Mus musculus: one gene and its partner. The protein of the gene in region 1 interacts with the protein of each later gene in a pairwise test. Links are inferred from orthologs where the notes say so. Each region holds a gene or a part of one and is shown on either strand. Other genes may lie near its edges.

The links. The genes of interacting proteins can lie anywhere in the genome.
Region 2: the proteins of Fndc11 (region 1) and Gpbp1 interact in binary tests that used the Homo sapiens proteins (3 or more experiments, as listed by UniProt). The link is inferred for Mus musculus from reciprocal best matches to the Homo sapiens genes FNDC11 and GPBP1.

What each region holds. Positions count from the first base shown.
Region 1 is NC_000068.7:181,218,469-181,222,895, reverse strand, and holds Fndc11 (fibronectin type III domain-containing protein 11), read right to left. Parts: upstream 2,863-4,427; 5' UTR 2,762-2,862; intron 1,503-2,761; 5' UTR 1,493-1,502; coding exon 494-1,492; 3' UTR 447-493; downstream 1-446.
Region 2 is NC_000079.6:111,486,677-111,491,078, forward strand, and holds the start of Gpbp1 (vasculin), read right to left. Parts: upstream 3,452-4,402; 5' UTR 3,042-3,451; intron 2,924-3,041; exon of another isoform or gene 2,792-2,923; intron 1,695-2,791; 5' UTR 747-1,694; intron 1-746. UniProt on the Homo sapiens protein: Functions as a GC-rich promoter-specific transactivating transcription factor.

The DNA.
Region 1 (4,427 bases):
CCCTCACACATGTGGGGTGCCTATGGCACTTCATCTTACTTGGGGAGAGTGTAAGACCTTTATTTTAAAAGTAAGAAATCATGGTCCTGGGCATCCTTGTTTCCAAGGCAGCTGGGATGCTAGCACTAAAGCTATGACTGCCCTCAGTGGTGTCCAAACAGGCCCAAAGTATCATCTTCCTCAGAGAGCTCAACCTAGGAGGCAGGGAAAGAAATCTGGTTCTGGCTGTCCGGATGAGGGGTACATAAGGTGCTGAGGCTGAGGGGCTGAGTTCCCTTGAAGCAGCCAGGTACCGGTGGCCAGCTCTCTCTTGTTCTAGAGTCCAGCCGGGGGCTCTCCTGGAAGAGACAGAAGGCAAAGGGGTTCTGGGACTTGTGGGGTGTAGGGCCATCAGGAAAACACATAGCTGCTACTTTCTTAAGGCCTAAGTAGGGTTGTGTCTTTAATTTGGTGTGTGTATACTCCTCTTTATTAGTGGATAAATATTAGAAAATCATCTCTCAGAAGGTGTGGTCAGGGGCAGGCTGGGCTTACCCAGCCTGGGGGCAGGCCCCTCAGGGGGTCCTGGCGTGGTCTGCAAGGTGAGGCTGTCCCGCCAGGGCTCATAGACCAGGGTGTAGCTTTCTGCCCTCTTGATAGTGAACTTGTAGGTACGGTTGGGCAACAGGTTGTGGACATCAAAGGTGCAGGCAGCCACAGGGACTATGCCACACTGTGTACACTCCTGTTGTGTCCTGGGCTCCAACAGCTTGAAGCGCAGTTCATACTGCTCTGGTGCTGCCGGCTGGATGGTTACAAACCAGCGCAGGCTGACCCAGTCCTGATGCGCCACTGACTCCTTCCGGTCGAACATAACTGGCATCTTCGTGCTCAGCATAAGCCGGATGTGTGGGATTTTGGTGGCTCCAATGTCAGATACCAGGCGGTGCTTGACATGCAGGTGTCCTGGTACCATCATGGCCAGGAAGTTGTCCATGACAACTGATAGGTCTGCCAACTGCTGTTCCACAAGCCCCCAGCCTGCCAGGAAGGGCCGTGGGTCAGGGGCCTCAAGTAGGGCATCCAGTGCTGCCCGGCCATGGTCCAGCTGCTCCAGCAGGTCCCCAAGCAGGAGGAGCTGGATCTTGGTCTGTGCTGTGCCCACCTTCTTCATGCGCTGGAACTTCCAGGGATCAATGAGCTGGAACATGGTGTTAGGTAGCACCAGCGGGTTCTGGTCACCCAGGGCCAGGTGCTTAGGGAGAATCTCAATGTAGTAGGAGCACTTCTTGAGCAGCTGCATGCGGGCATGGTGGCGCTTGAGCAACTGGGGGCTCAGGTCTGTGGTCAGGAACTCACGCAGCACGTTGCGGCGCTCCATGTATGTCCTCCAAGCCTCTGGCTCCAGCAGCTGCTGGTCCTCTGCCTCCTCCACCTCCTCTGCGTCCAGGAAGGAATGTGGACTGTCCAGCTTCATTTTGTCCAGGGCCAGGCCTGTCACCTGGAAGTTCATTGTCTGGGAGCTGAGGGTAAGAACTAGGCATCAGCTGTGACCGTCAGATTGGCTCTGCCCCTCATCAGCCTCTGCCCCATAATGGCTTTTGCTCTCCCCTGGGACACAGCTTTCTGATCAGAGACCCCTGGAGGGGACAGAATAGTGGGCTGGGTACTGGGCAAAAGCAGATGATAAACGGGAAACTTCTATCAAGGGGCCAATAGTATTTTGTGGCGATGAGCTAATGGGGCTTATCAGACAGAGTGGGCTACAGGGACCAGAGTAGCCTGGGGAGAAGCTCTGGGATGTTGATTAGTTTTGAGACAGATCATAAGTCTCAGGTTCCTCACCTAACACAGGTCTGTGCCCAAGCTTAGGGTGATTCCCCATGCTTCCCAGTACTCTCCAGAGACCAGGTACACTGCAGGGGTGCAATGCTCAGGGACCAGGCTAACCAAAGACAAGACTCTACATCATCCTCACATAAAGGGGGGGGGGGGGACCTTGTGTGGCTAAGAACAGGGTAGATCCTCTCCCACCATCTCACAGATGGGGGTTGGGGGGAGTCTAACGCTAAAGCTTGTTAGGTTGGTCTTCCTTCATGGTCACTTTTGATTTTGACAGAACATCTCAGTCTGTTGTTCAGGCTGCCCTCCAACTCCTGTGCTCAAGCAGTCTTGGGACTCCAGGGGTGTATGCTCCTGTACCCAGTTTATCCCAAAGCTGGAACTGTTGACTCCAGAGTCAGCCCTCCTCTCCTTGTCCCCATACCTTTCCCCCAAATCTGGTTGTCTGTGGAGAGGCTGGTGTGCCACAAAGCCCAGTAGCCAGAGATCCCTGGAGAAGGTACCAACCTCCTGCTAGCTGTCCCTGGCACTGGGCCAGTGGCTTCACTTGGAAATCTCAGTTTGTGGAAACTGGGCTTGGATGAGCAAGAAACAGAGCTAAGAGACTGGATGACTACCTCAAAACCACACAGCTGGATAGTAAGATTGATCATGTCCCAAAGACTAATTCAAAGTGATTTGTGTGAATGGTGGTGCGTGCCGGGGGTGGGGGGTGGGGGGGGTTAGAACAGGCATCTGAGACAGCAGAGAATGGTTCCTGGCTGAATGCTAGCTGAGATCAGGGCCCCAAGACCCTGAGTCAACAGTTCATGGCCGCTAGAAAGCTCAATGGAAGTCTCCATAACTACTTCCCCATCTAAGCTATTCTATCACCCCTCCCCCTCCGTGGAGACTACCCACCCCGAGCTTCTGGGCACACCTCCTAAACTCCTCTACCTACCACTCCTCTTCCGGATCACCTCCGTGAGCCCCAGCCCCGCTCTGCAAGTGCCTGGCCGCCCGCTTCCTGTGCGGAGCCCAGCCAGAGCTGCAGGGTGCACTGCCAGATCCGCTCCCCCTGCCAAAGGCCTACTTGTTGCCATGGGAACCACTGGCCCTTGTGACGCTGTGCACATCCGGCCCAGGTGTAAGGAGCTCTTGATTTGAAGGCTAAATTTTGATATACGGCAGCAGCGATTTATGTCCAGGGCCTCACGGACTCGAAACAAACTCAACTTCAGCCCGCGCCACGGGCTAGTGGAATTGTTCCTCGGCATCGTGTTTCGCAGCAGTCCAGGAGCCTGCGGTGGCTGGGTCAGCAGCTTGGCTTGCAATGGGATTCTATGCAACGCAGGAAACTGGTGTCTTTGAGTGGGACAGAGCTGGCTGCTGGGACTCAAGAAGCCAGCAGATGCCAGTGGAGTGCAGGGAAGGGCCACCTGTTTGACATTCCAAGCCAAGCAGCCGCCTATGGGTCTCAAAGACGATGAGAAAGGAAGTGATATAGCAGCAGATGGCTAGGATCTCCTTAGCAAGCAGTCAGCAAGGTGAAGGGGTCTGGTTTTCCCAGGCCTCCAGAAACTCATGCCCTGTCCCCTCCAGTCTGAATAAACGGAGTCCATAGCTCTAGGAATCCTCAAAGGAATCCCCAAGTTGCAGTCTCATACTCCAAACTGGGCTTTGGACCCCTAGATTTAACACCCAGGTCCTTCCTCTTTATGAGCTAGCTTGGGGTTACTCCTAGCAAGGGTCTCAGGGTCTCAGCCACCTGAAAGCTGCTGACTCTTTTCCACTCGGTCAGTCCTTCTAGATTGGGTTTGTCTGGACTGAGTTACCTGGTTGTAACTCAAGTTTGCTACCAACTTGAATTATAGCTAGAGCTCCCAGCCCTCCTGATGGCATCTGACGGTGCTGGGGAATAGTTTTCCTATCTGTCAACCTATATTGGCTACAGACCTCAGAGGCCCCAGAGGGGGAGGGGGAGGAGGGAGAAGCGATGGGTGCTGGCTCTGTGCTCATCTAGGCTAGTTAGTCATGGTGGCCAGTTTGAGGGAGAAAGGGATGCCATCTGAAGGTCCAGGAGGGAAACTGGCCCCTGGGGAGTAGAAGAGAATAAAAAGCAGCAGGAAGAATACCAGCGCCCAGCTCTTCCTCAGGAAGGAGATGGGTGAGGCTCACTACCCTGTTCTTAGGGGTTGGGCTTGCTCTGGGTCTGTGAAAGCTGCTCTGCTCCACTTGATCGGTCTTTTTTTTTTTTTTTCCCAGTCCTAGTTTTAAAATTTTTAATTTTTTAGATTGATTTTTATGTATATGAGCATTTTACCTGCATGCCTGGTTCCCACAGAAGGCTGGTACCCACAGAGGTAGGAAGAGGACATTGGATCCCCTGGAACTGGAGTTAGGGATGGTTTTTATTTTTCTTTCTCTTTCTTTCTTTCTTTCTTTCTTCCTTCCTTTCTTTCTTTCTTTCTTTCTTTCTTTCTTTCTTTCTTTCTTTCTTTCAAGATTGATACATTTATTTTATGTGAGTACATGGTTGCTCTCTTCAGACACACAGGAAAGGGCATTACATTTCATTACAGATGGTTGTGAGCCACCATGGTTGCTGGGAATTGAACTCATGACCT
Region 2 (4,402 bases), on another chromosome or scaffold:
CTCGAACTCAGAAATCTGCCTGCCTCTGCCTCCCGAGTGCTGGGATTAAAGGTGTGTGCCACCACGCCCGGCTATGTTTCAAAAACTTGTCTGTAATGTGTTAAACATATAGAATTGTTGTACCTTAAAACAAGCTATTTCTTAAGATATCAAATTTAAAACCAAACTTGCATTATTCTGTGTTACACTACCGCTAAACTAGATCTCTAAACTATGTGTTTAGTAATACAGTCTAAACTCACACTTAGAAAATAAAGTAGTAATCAAGACCCATGACATTTACAATATAAAACCAACCAGACATCAACTGTGTAGACTTTCCTACGTTTGCACTATGCGCTCCCGCTCGCTCTCTCTCTCTATATATATATATATGCTATCATAAAGCAGAAAGTGATTTCTCTCTCTCTCTCTCTCTCTATATATATATATATATGTATATATATATATATATATATGCTATCATAAAGCAGAAAGTGATTACTGACCAGATGCATTTATGTTTTTTCAACTTTAAAAATACAAAAACTTTTAATAAGACTAATGTCTGAAACATTTGTAAACCTTAAAATCATCCCCATTTCAATTTGCTATATAGCTAAATGGCTGGCTATTTTCAGACTATCCAGAAATGTAATCAGAAACATTTTTTTCAAGAAACTGAAAGGTTTCCAAATATAACACGGGATCAATCTGACTCTTATTACAGATTACAGAGGAACATCTATTTGCTCACAAGTACTTACAAATTCCAAAAGGACTGCACAAGAAGGTGTTGATTTCTTCTCTATAAGCTTTATGTTTTCCAGTTTGTTTTTTTATTTTGTATCCTCTGAAATATCCAAGTTCTTTGAAGATACTTAACCTATGACTATTTGACATAGAGTTACTTGAAGTCAGCTACCCATATTTACTTTGAAGTTTTCATATGGTCAGATCCAGAGTTAGCCAGGTTCCTTGGATTTAAGAGCAAGGTCTTCTTTACTGTTCCATGTATTTGTCACTGTTGTACTTATCCACTCCAGAAGAAATAGCCAATTTATGTGCCAAAAAGCAGAAACAAAAAGAAAAATTTCACATCTGAAGATTACTTCTAAACATCAGCGTGTATAGACAAATAGCTATCTCAATACTACCATGCTGGTGTGAAAATGGAACATCTTACATTCCCAAGTAAATAAAAGATAAAAAGAAAAAAACGCTGTATTCTTTCAATGTCTTCATTTAGAAAAGCTGTCCCATTGTAATATGAAAAAAGCTGAAGTCAAAAATTACTAAAACTTTTAATAAAGGTAAAAAGAACTGCCACAAAACTTCAGCAATATTTAAACAGTAATTTGAAACTGCTGAAACTACTTGGTACACAAATCAAACATATCTTACAGTTTTGGCTGAAGAACACAAACAGGAGAGGGGAAAGAGACAAAAATAACACCAGATGAAATGCTTTAACCACTTATATAATCCGTTTGACCCAAAATACTGAAGAAATGGCTGGGACTTTTAGTAGCTCGTTGAATTTGTTCACTACTATCAATTCACTTCAGAGATGATTCTTGTCAATTTTAATGAACTTCTGGAGCAAAATTGCCCAAAACAAAAACAAAACTGTAATTCCAAAATGGCCACTTGAAATATCCGGGGCCTTTTAAACAAAACCTAGATGATGATCTTCATACGCCAAATTCAACCACCTGTAAAAGTTGTATTAGGAAAAAACAAAAACAAAAAACTTAAGTCAGTTTTTATTTTCAAATCAAAATTAACCCCCATTTGGAAAAAAATTTAACCTCTGGGGAAAAAATTTTTCCCACACAGCCGTAAAAAGAGAGCTGGGGAAAAAGTCTTTTCCTAGCCCTCGATGAAGTCTACTGAATGAAGGGAGTTAGAAAACTGTGGGCGACGATATCACTGAAGAGTTCCGATTTGAACTGGGAACTGGGTGCAGGTAGTACCCTGGAGGTTGCAAGCGCCCAACTTAAAAACTTTGAGCAAATATTCAAACTACGAAAGTGGCCCACGGTCTCAGCAGTGCTCTTCCCCGATTCTCTCCCATGTGCCAAAGGAAAACAAATGGACAGGTGGTGCTGCCACGGAGCGTCGGGGAACCCGACTCCGAGAGTGAGAGGCGGAAAGGAGCGTGACGCTCCTTCCAAAACGCAATCTCGGAGGACGGAGCAGCTGGATTGTCCCCACTACGGCTTAGTAGGAAGGCCGGCGGGCAGGCCGGCGGGCGGGAGGGGAGCGTGGCAAGGCGAGCGTGGCAGGGCGAGTGGCTACGGTTCGCCCGGGGGCTGACTCCCAAGCCCGGGAGAGCAGCGCTCGGCTCCAGGTGCTCGGCCCCATTCCCTTGAAATTAAGCAAACAGGTTTCGGCCAAAACTCCAGGGGTGGGAGGTGCGGGACGCGACCCGTCCACCCCGTTAAGGACCGTGCTCTCCCCGGGAAAATAAACAGGTCCCGTCGGACTCGGGAGCCGACGCGACTTCGGAGCGCTCGCCTTGGGCGAGCAGCCACCACCACCACCGCAACTGCCACGGAGCCCGGCGCGGCGGGGAGGGCGAAGCGCCGCCGAGCACACGGCGGAAGTCCACGGCTCCGCACGCCGCGACTCCAGTCCCCGGTCCCCCGGTTCCCCGGTTCCCGGGGCCGCCTTGCTGGTGGTGGCCCAGGAAGGCGCGCGTGCCGGGGCCTGGGGTCTTAGCCCGACGCCGCGGGCGCCCCGGCCGTTCCCGGCCTTCGCCGCCGAGCACCACCCCCCCCCACCACGGCCGCCGAGGCCCGCCGCCCACCTCGCCCCACGGCCGCCGCCGCCGCCTCCGCTCCGCCGGGCTGAGTCAACGCCGGCCGGGGGGAGGGAGGGAGGGAGGGAGGACGGGCGGGCGCCCCGCGCCTCACGCCTCACGCCGCCCCCCGGCCGCCCGCACCCTCACGCCTCGCGCCACCAACGCCGCTCCCGACCCCTCAAGCCCCAACGCCGACACGGGCAACCCCTCCCCCGGTCCCCGAGACTCCCGTCCGGGGCCCAGGGGACTGTGTTACCTTCTGCCCCACCAGAGGTGCCCCTGGCCTGGGGGTGCCGCTGCGCTCGATCCCGGGAGGAGGTTTTCGGTACTTTGAATAATCCCCTTTTGCCGCTTTTCCCTCCCCCACAACCAGTCTCAGTCCCAAAATGGCGCCGACCCGATCCGCAATGTTCTGGGCCAAGTCTCGCGAGATCGTGGAAGGTGGCGAGGGAGGGGGGACGCAGCGGAGAGGTTGAGAAGTAAGAGGAGGGAGGCGGGGCGAGGGGAAAAGAGGAGGAAGAAAGGGTGCGGAAGCCGCGGTGCAAACGAACCCACTGGGCGGAGCCGGAGGAGGAGGGCCTCCACCACAGAACCTTCTGGCCCAAGTAGCAGCTCACGCCCCAGGTCAGGGAAGCTCCGCCCTCTACGTCGGCGCCTGGGGGAGAGGAAGGGGCGGGGCTAGACCGGGGGCGGGGCTTTGAGGAGGACCCGGAGGCTGGGCCTGGCGCGGGGGAAGGGCGGGGGCGGGGCGGGGGGCGGGGCGGGGAGGCGGAGTCTCGGCGCGGTGACGTCAGGAGCAGCTGGAGCCGGGGATTACCCCCTGCTGCTGACGTGAGGACGGTGAACAATCCGGAACGTTCGGTGGAAGGGGGAATTCCCGTCCGTTCCCTGAGGAGCGCCTCTGTGCAGCCGCGGGCCCTCCCCGAGCTCGGGAACGGTGGGGTGGAGAGGACGAGCGCAGGCGGTCCGGACGGGCAGGCGGGCTCGCAGGGCGTGCGGCGCTTCTGAGTCTGCCCGGCAGCGCCGCGCAACCCGGAACGGCCGGCGGCGGGCGCCGTTCGTTCGGCTCCGCCTGAAGCCCGCCGTGGCTCGCAGGCCGCTCGGCGCGGGCCCTGAGCGCTCCGTGGGCGGAGCCGGCCCTGCCTGAGTGATTGGGCGCCGCAGTCGCGCGCCACGCGGAGCGTGCGGGACGTTAACACGCGGAAGCCGGGTTAGGGAGGCGCGCGAGGCTCGGCTGCAGCCACCGTTCCCCCGGAGTGCGAAGGGCTGCCAGAGAGCATCGCGCTAGTAATTCCTATTTCTAATAACTCCAAAGGAGATGGATTATTTCATCAGCGTTGTCCTGGGTATCCGCATAGCACAAACGATTATTTAAAAAAAAAAAGTTACGGTATTCACTTTCTCTACATATAGCCAAAGGTTCACTCTGGAAAGGTTGGAGATTTAATTCTAAAAGGAAAAAAGTAGAAGAAATGAGGGAGAAGCGTCCTAAAGAGGGAAAATCACCGGAGCGTCATTTCCCAGAAACTTTTTATATGCATTATAGGGTTTGTAGTTTAGTGCGTTACCCCTATAAGTTCGCCGAATGTAAACTCGCCTTAATTTGTACCTCAATCT